Linked DNA regions of Xenopus tropicalis. The protein of the gene in region 1 binds, or shares a complex with, the protein of each later gene. Links are inferred from orthologs where the notes say so. Each region holds a gene or a part of one and is shown on either strand. Other genes may lie near its edges. The genes, in order: rad18 and ube2b.

Region 1 (3,822 bases):
GTCTGCAGGGGGCGTCTACAACCTGACTAAAAAAATAAGGGATAGCATTAGTGCAAACTAGATACAGGGGACTCTGCCCAGTAACAGTAATAGAAAGAACTAGTAGGGGATTAAAGCCATAGGAGCGCTAAATCTTATGGGTCCCTGCACACCGAATCCCGGATTCGGTTCGGGATTCGGGCCAAATCCAGGCTTTTTTTGAAGGATTCAGTTTCGTCTGAATCCTAATTAGTAAGAATTAGCATATGCTAATTAGTATTTGGAAAGGGTTAAATGGTCATGGTAAAAAAAATTTGCCGCACGTGCAGCGATCCTAATTAGCATATGTTAATTCGAATTTGGTTCAGGATTCAGCAGAATCTGCCAGGGTGGGTTCGGCCAAACCCAAAAAAAGTAGGTTTGGTGCATCCCTACTGAAAGGAAAGGATATGATCTGTAGGGTATCTGTAATTGCAGGGTTTCCTGATATAATAACTGCAGCTCAGTTCTGCATATCACACTTGTATGTCCATCTCTGTCTTGCTGCTACTGCCTTGCATTCTGGGAAATTAACATCAGCAACAGAAATAACACACACTTATACATACATATACAGTAGTGTGGAAATGCTTTGATCTGCACAAATATTTTAATTAATAAAGCTGCGATTCCGTAGAGATTCCGTACAGATTCGGTATAATTAGTAAGTTCTGTGGAGGTCAGATGTTATGGCCGACTGAAATTACATTGATCAGTCTTATCTCATAATTTAATGTCATTAGAAAGAGGACAAATTTAGATCCGATGGAAACGCCAAGTATATGCAAGTGTATTAGTATTCAGTGCCATTTGATGTCTACAGTTAGAGATGAGAAACAGAATCTTCTGTTTTTATTAGAGGTAAGGCTGCTTAATGGTATTTTTTCCAAAACCTTGTTCTGGAAAACTTTGGATTGCATATTCTGCTTTCAAAAATGTTTTCCTGAAAATGGTACTTAACCTTGTACCTCACAACAATATCTGTGCGTGTATGGCTAGCTGAAGCAAAAAGATTAGCTAGAAGATTTTATATAGACATATGGCTTTCTGCACTACTACTCCTTTACTCAATATTATGTAAAGTCATGTGAAATTAGGTCTTCTGCCACATCTTATTTGTTTGTAACACACAACTGTTCCCTCTATTACTTGACCTTGTCCTTTGAGTACCTACCTGGGAGGCCTGGCTGTTTTTATTTGATATTTTGGACTGGCTGTAGTTATCCAGAGGATGGATATGGGTTTAGTCTTGAATCATTTCAGATGGTAAAACAATTCCATAAGACTTACACCACAAAACAGGCTTTGATGTTTCCTGTTCTAAAGCAAAACAGCATATGTTAAAGGAAAACTATACCCCCAGAATAAATACCTAATAAACAGTTTATATTTTGTTAAGTGACCTATTAAAGAATTTTGCTAAACTGGAATATATATATATATATCAGTAAATTTAGCTCTTTTACATCTTTTCCCTTGAGTCGCCATTTAGGGCTGTGGTAGACGGGGAGATTAGTTGCCGTGTGACAAATCTCCCCGAAATGCCATCCCACTGACTAGAATGTAAATCTCCGGTGGGATGGCATATGCGGTGCCGAAATCGCCGAAGTTTCCTCTCAAGGCAACTTCAGCGATTTCGGCAAATCGCCGCGCCGCGTATGCCATCCCACCGGTGAGTTACATTCTAGCCGGTGGGATGGCATTTCGGGGAGATTAGTTTCCTGGGACAAGGGAGATTTGTCGCGGGTGACTAATCTCCCCGTCTGTCAAGGCCCTTAGTGATGGGCTGTGTGCTCCCTCAGAGATCACATGACCAGAAATAATGCAGCTCTGACAGGAAGTAGTGTGGGAGCAAAAGGCAGAACTCTGCCCATTAATTGGCTGATGGGGCCTAGCATGTATGTGTGCCTTGGCTTGTTTGTGTGCACTGTGAATCCTATGATCCCAGGGGGCGGCCTTAAAGTGATACCGACACGAAAAAACAACTTTTTAAATTATGAATCTACATAAAAAGTTGCCTATAGGTCGTGTTGATCATTTTTTGCTGATAGGTTTGCTTTTGTAAGAAATTGTTACTTGAAATCCCAAAACCTGACTGTTTTGCCAGCCTGACTGTCCCTTCTCAGCCAGTCAGTTACAGCTTCTAATGCTAATGGCCACCTGCTGGACAAATATGGCCGCCCCCTCATAGAGGAACATGGGGGATCAGATAGTGAATGTAAAAGCTTGGACAAATACTTTTATGGCAAAATAATAAATAGCATGCAGAGACAATATTATGACAGATGTAAAAAAGGTTTCATTTCTGGTGTCAGTATCTCTTTAATTCTTAAAATGGCAGTTTTCTATTTAGTATTACCCAATAGCACATACTACTAAAAAAGTATATTTTTATGAAAATGGTTTATTTAGATGAAGCAGGTTTTATGCAATATATTTTTTTAGAGACCTACATTGTTTGGGGTATAGTTTTCCTTTAAAGATTTGTCATTGTTATAAACATGCACCCAAATATACTGCATGCTTTATTTCTTTTTCACAAATAGGTTTTCTTATTATTATTGTTCACTATTGCTGGAATTATCCAATTAGAACAGAGGAAATTGACAGATTTACTGTCAGCAAGAGTGTGTTGGTTTCAGTTTAAAAAAAATGTTAGAAATGTATAAAAAAAAAAAATAAAAAAAAAAAAATGTAATATACAGAGAGAGAAAGGGTTCCACACACAGGGACTTAGTGCCAAAAGACAAAAGTTCTATTAAAAAAAGTCCTGTCCCTGAGAAAGGGCACTGTCTTAGCTGGTATAAAGTAAAAGATACTGTTTTGTTTGAATTATATGATTATAATGGAGCCTATAGGAGATGGCCTTCCTTTAATTTAGAACTTTCTGGACAATGGATCCCATACTTTCTGGATAATGGATCCCATATATGTATGTGTGTGTGTGTATATATATATATATATATATATATAATATACACAAAATTAATGACTAATTGTGAACTGTATTAAATATCTACTACAATGTGGGCAGGTCTCCTCTGTTTTAAATAAAATTACAACTCTTTTTTTCTTGTATGTTTTAGGCAGCATCTTTCAAAGGTTGTCTTGGATTCACCTCCCATGTCGCCACAAAGTAACCCCTCCACCAGCAAGATTGCAAAAATGCAGGGATGCACTGGTAAACAAGTAAAGCAAGAGAACATAATAATGAATAGATTTCTGGTAAAAGGCAACTGTTCAACACCCCGAACTCATTCAAACACTTTACAAGATGAAACCTTTTTAAGCCAGGATTCTTCATATACCTCTGCTAATACCTCCAATATTGATTTAGCCGGAGAAGCAGGTTCTGTAATGACAGAGACGTTTGGTACATTTTCACCCTCCACATCTGCTCTAGCTGCACCCTCTTCTGCATCAAAAGTTAGAGGTAAGCCTCTAGTGTCCGAACTATTTGCCATATTTTTTATATTTTTATATATAATGCAACTATATTGGATTTTTATATATAATTAAACTGTATTGGATCTGGAATTAATCTGTTTTTACAAATAGTCTTAATTTTTTTTTTTTTTGCTTACAGTTGTTTATGTATTTAATTATATATTTTATATTTCTTTAGTGTAACATTTCTTTTCTGTCTGCACATAACGCGCTTATGCTGTGAGTTTTTGACACATTTCACCTGCTCTAATTGGCCGATTCCAACGTGAGCCAGTCATTTTCAGTGCACAACTGACACACAACATGGTTAGGTTTTTTAAAGCAGGAAATGACAGACGAGGAGATTAGTCCCTGCAA
Region 2 (4,600 bases), on another chromosome or scaffold:
TTGTATGCAATGCTATGAGTCTCATTTTGGTGCACACTATGCCATTTACAACAATAGACATTCTGAAAAATCAAGTTTTCTTATCAAGTGGGTATATATACACACACACACACACAGGTATAGGACCTGTTATCCAGAATGCTCGGGACCAAGGGTATTCCGGATAAGGGGTCTTTCCGTAATTTGGATCTCCATACCTTAAGTCTGCTAAAAAATCAATAAAACATTAATTAAACCCAATAGGATTGTTTTGCATCTAATAAGGATTGATTATATCTTAGTGGGGATAAATTACAAGGTACTGTTTTATTATTACAGAGAAAAAGGAAATTAGTTTTAAAATTCTGAATTATTTGATTAAAATGGAGTCTATGGGAGACGGGCTTTCCGTAATTTGGAGCTTTCTGGATAACGGGTTTCCGGATAAGGGGTCCGATACCTGTCTTGGCAAAAAAATGATAAGTTAATTTAAGCAAAGAAATCCTTTCTTTGCTTAAATAAACTTATCATTTTTTTTGCCAAGTCCTGGTGTGTGCAGCTCACTGTCTTGCTTTATATATATATATATATATATATATATATATATATAGCGCCTAACTTCTAGCGCCATTTCTTCTATCTGCTTCAGTAGTAAAGTTGTGGCTCTAGGTAAGAATCGGAATTCCAGGTTTGTTTTGCATTTATTGTATTACATTTGAGCAGATTTGCTGGATGAGGGGGCAAACACATGTTATATGGAAGAAGTCAACTGGGTGGGTGTCACATCTGGGACAGTTCTCACCAGGGCATTTTTAATCACCAAAACCTATAGTAGGAGGAATACAAATAGAAAAAAAAAACCCTTCCGCTTAAACAAAATTGAAGGGAAGCCAAAACAGAAGCCGAGTTCTGAAATGACATAAGACTTTAAGAGCTTCACTGTGTGGCTGCTACAAAACCGGTATGGATGCTGTCTGTATATTTTATTAATAAGGTGCTACTTGTGTATGCATCACTAACAGGAGAACAATACACTAATAGGAGTTAATCCAAAAATAAAAACGAATAAATACAAAGCACAAAGTGATACTCAAGATTAAGTGCTGAGCGTTAAGGACCCAAGTGGAATGAGGTTCCCTGACATTCTTGCTTTATGATGCAATAAACTGACCTAAAAAAAACAATGTTAACAATACAAAGATGTTTGCCCAGCTAAAGATTATATTTATCTGTGCAATAATGTACGTTACAATAAATGGATGGACTGGATACTTTTTGCTTTTGTATTTCTAGCAGACATCAATATGTCATCAAATCACCAAAACCAATAAAACAAGTGATTGTGAAGTGTAGTCAATGTTCAGAATACCTTATCTACTAATCACATTGCACAACTGCCAAAAACAAAGCTGTGGACAACAATGCAGGACTAAAAATCCAATTAAGTAATTAAAAACATAAAAAAACATAATGCAAAAAATAAATAACTGATCAGTGGGGCCCATTTATAAACACCAGGCAATTCTGTACATGTGCAGTAACCAACAGCAACTAATCAACATTTTCTCTCTTTTTTTTTTTCAACCTGGTGAATAAAAACAAATCACTGGCTGGTTGCTATAGGTTTCTGCCCAGGTGCAAATTTGCCCAGGTGCAAATTTGCCCAGTATTGAACAGCACTCTGTACATTAAGTAGTTCTATATAAATATACATACAGTGTTGATCAATAATCCAATGTAAATGTATTGGTCAAAAAAGCTGATTCAGTATTCACAATGCAGACCAAATAGATTTTTATGTGCGGCCAAGCATGCAAGATAAAGCAAAATTGGAATTCTGGGAAAATGTGTTTATGTGTAAAGCCTTTTAAAGAGCTGGAAGGCAACTGCAGGACTGTACCAGCAGCAGAAATGGGGCAGATAAGGCTAAAGCTAATGATGACCAGCATTTCACTAACTGCCAGAAAACCTTTCAACCACATTGCTGGCAGTTCATATCTTTGGCTGAGGGTGTAAAAGGTGGCCAAACAGTACCTTGTACTTGAGCCTAAGGTATAATTAATCCTTATTGGAGGCAAAATAATGCTATTGGGTTTATTTAATGGTTAAATGATTTTCTAGTAGACTTAGGATATGGAGATCTAAACTACGGAAAGATCCCTTATTCTGAAAACTCCAGCTCCTGAGCTTTGCGATTAACAGGTCCCATCCCTGTATGTATTTTTGGATGTGGGTGAGGATATATCTTACAAAACAATACAGATAAGCACATGGCAGCATGGGGATAGAGGGGCCGGCTGCACTAGCACACACTGCCCACTATAACAGCCATAAAAAATACAAAAATAAACTTTACAGATAAAAAATAAAACCTAGCAAAAGTGAAATATAATTGTGGGGTCTACTATAACTCATTGGCCAACTGCTCTATGCTGCAAAGAGATCTTCCATACTGTTCTCTATAGATATTTAAGGAGATGAACTGGCCTAGTGCTTATAGCCAGCAAGAAGTGGGGTTTTGTGATTTTCAGTGTCCCTAACATCTTCCCTTTACGGGTACTGATCCACTGAACGCCCAGGAGGCCTCAGGTAACCCCCCATATGCTGCAAAACTACAACTTCCAGCATGCCAAGCGGGCAGAAGGCGAGAGGTGTAGTCCCACAAGAGCAGAAGCGCCGAAGGTTGCCTGCCCCTGCCTTATACACTAGTCGTGTGACTTGGTGGCGGAGTCGAACGGAACTCGCAGTGAAGCCGATGAGGGAAGGAGCCTGTAACAGCCCTACTCACCTCTTGAAGTCCCTCATCAGCCTCCTCCTGGCCGGGGTGGACATTGCCCCTGAATAGAAGCAGTACGGAGGGGGAAGGGAGGGAGCCCAAACCCGGCCGCCGCTAACTCAGCAACCCTGGCACAAACAAGCCGCAATGACGTTGCTCAGTGCTCCCAACATGGGGCTGGACCAGAACGTTTCATAGGACCGTACCAACTACACCGGAGAGGGAGATTCCGTGCTAAGCTGCCATTTTTGCAAAATGTTGCCCCGAGATTCACTGCGGAGTTTAATAGGAACATTTGTTTTTTATTGTGACGCGGCATGCCGTTTTCTTGGACGTGGGGCAGTGTGATTTATTGCTGACGATCACCCCTGTCATCCGTACGAATGGTCGCTTCCATAAGTGACAACTCAAAGTTCCTGAGGAGAAGCGTTGCATCATATCACGTGGTGTTTGAGCTCGGCTTTCCTGGGAGGGTAGCTTCGGTGAAAGTTGATGGTTCTGTAGAGTATTCTTTATAGCGAATAAAGTCTCTTACTGGAGATGCTACAAGTATGGTTCAGCACCACCAGTAGGCACACTGTTTAAACATTCCTGTTTTATATAGTCTGCAACTGAAAACTGCTTGGAAATTGTATTGCAGAAATATAGTCAGAGAAAGATATGGCACATGTGCCTGGGTTGTATGAATAACATGCACCATAATAAGTCACATTTATTATCAGTTTAATAAATATTTGTCTTCTGAAATGATTGTGGTAATACCCCAGGCTGTTAAAACTGGAAAGTGACCATAATGTAAATTTCAGAGATAGTAGTTCTTTTTAAAGAATGGGTTCTGCCAAACCATCTGCATATTTGAACACTTGGTAATCTCATCAGTTGCAATAGGTGATTATTGCAGAAATAGCAACTGATCACAATTTGCAGGGACTGTCTTAGATCTTGATATACAGAGGAGGAAATAATTATTTGACCCCTCACTGATTTTGTAAGTTTGTCCAATGACAAAGAAATGAAAAGTCTCAGAAGAGTATCATTTCAATGGTAGGTTTATTTTAACAGTGGCAGATAGCACATCAAAAGGAAAATCGAAAAAATAACTTTAAATAAAAGATAGCAACTGATTTGCATTTGAATTTTCATTGAGTGAAATAAGTTTTTGAACCCCTACCAACCATTAAGAGTTCTGGCTCCCACAGAGTGGTTAGACACTTCTACTCAATTAGTCAACCTCATTAAGGACACCTGTCTTAACTAGTCACTTGTATAAAAGACACCTGTCCACAGAATCAATCAATCAAGCAGACTCCAAACTCTCCAACATGGGAAAGACCAAAGAGCTGTCCAAGGATGTCAGAGACAAAATTGTAGACCTGCACAAGGCTGGAATGGGCTACAAAACCATTAGCAAGAAGCTGGGAGAGAAGGTGACAACTGTTGGTGCGATTGTTCGAAAATGGAAGGAGCACAAAATGACCATAAATCGACCTCACTCTGGGGCTCCATGCAAGATCTCGCCTCGTGGGGTGTCAATGATTCTGAGAAAGGTGAAAAAGCATCCTAGAACTACACGGGAGGAGTTAGTTAATGACCTCAAATTAGCAGGGACCACAGTCACCAAGAAAACCATTGGAAACACATTACACCGCAATGGATTAAAATCCTGCAGGGCTCGCAAGGTCCCCCTGCTCAAGAAGGCACATGTGCAGGCCCGTCTGAAGTTTGCCAATGAACACCTGAATGATTCTGTGAGTGACTAGGAGAAGGTGCTGTGGTCTGATGAGACCAAAATAGAGCTCTTTGGCATTAACTCAACTCGCTGTGTTTGGAGGAAGAAAAATGCTG

What was found.
Region 2: the proteins of rad18 (region 1) and ube2b are in contact, whole or in part, in a crystal structure (PDB 2YBF), measured with the Homo sapiens proteins. The link is inferred for Xenopus tropicalis from reciprocal best matches to the Homo sapiens genes RAD18 and UBE2B. Residues at the interface, in NP_064550.3 of Homo sapiens: Tyr342, Arg343, Lys344, Lys345, His346, Lys347, Glu349, Phe350, Leu353, Val354, Gln356, Ala357, Arg358, Lys359, Gly360, Tyr361; in NP_003328.1 of Homo sapiens: Pro20, Val22, Gly23, Val24, Ser25, Gly26, Ala27, Ser29, Glu30, Gln35, Asn37, Ala38, Val39, Phe41, Gly42, Pro43, Glu44, Glu49, Asp50, Lys54, Leu55, Val56, Leu73, Ser74, Asp151, Ser152.

What each region holds. Positions count from the first base shown.
Region 1 is NC_030680.2:131,520,536-131,524,357, reverse strand, and holds part of rad18 (E3 ubiquitin-protein ligase RAD18), read left to right. Parts: intron 1-3,104; coding exon 3,105-3,451; intron 3,452-3,822. UniProt on the Homo sapiens protein: E3 ubiquitin-protein ligase involved in postreplication repair of UV-damaged DNA. Postreplication repair functions in gap-filling of a daughter strand on replication of damaged DNA.
Region 2 is NC_030679.2:26,523,353-26,527,952, forward strand, and holds the start of ube2b (ubiquitin-conjugating enzyme E2 B), read right to left. Parts: upstream 2,915-4,600; 5' UTR 2,812-2,914; coding exon 2,768-2,811; intron 1-2,767. UniProt on the Homo sapiens protein: E2 ubiquitin-conjugating enzyme that accepts ubiquitin from the ubiquitin-activating enzyme E1 and transfers it to a E3 ubiquitin-protein ligase. In vitro catalyzes 'Lys-11'-, as well as 'Lys-48'- and 'Lys-63'-linked polyubiquitination.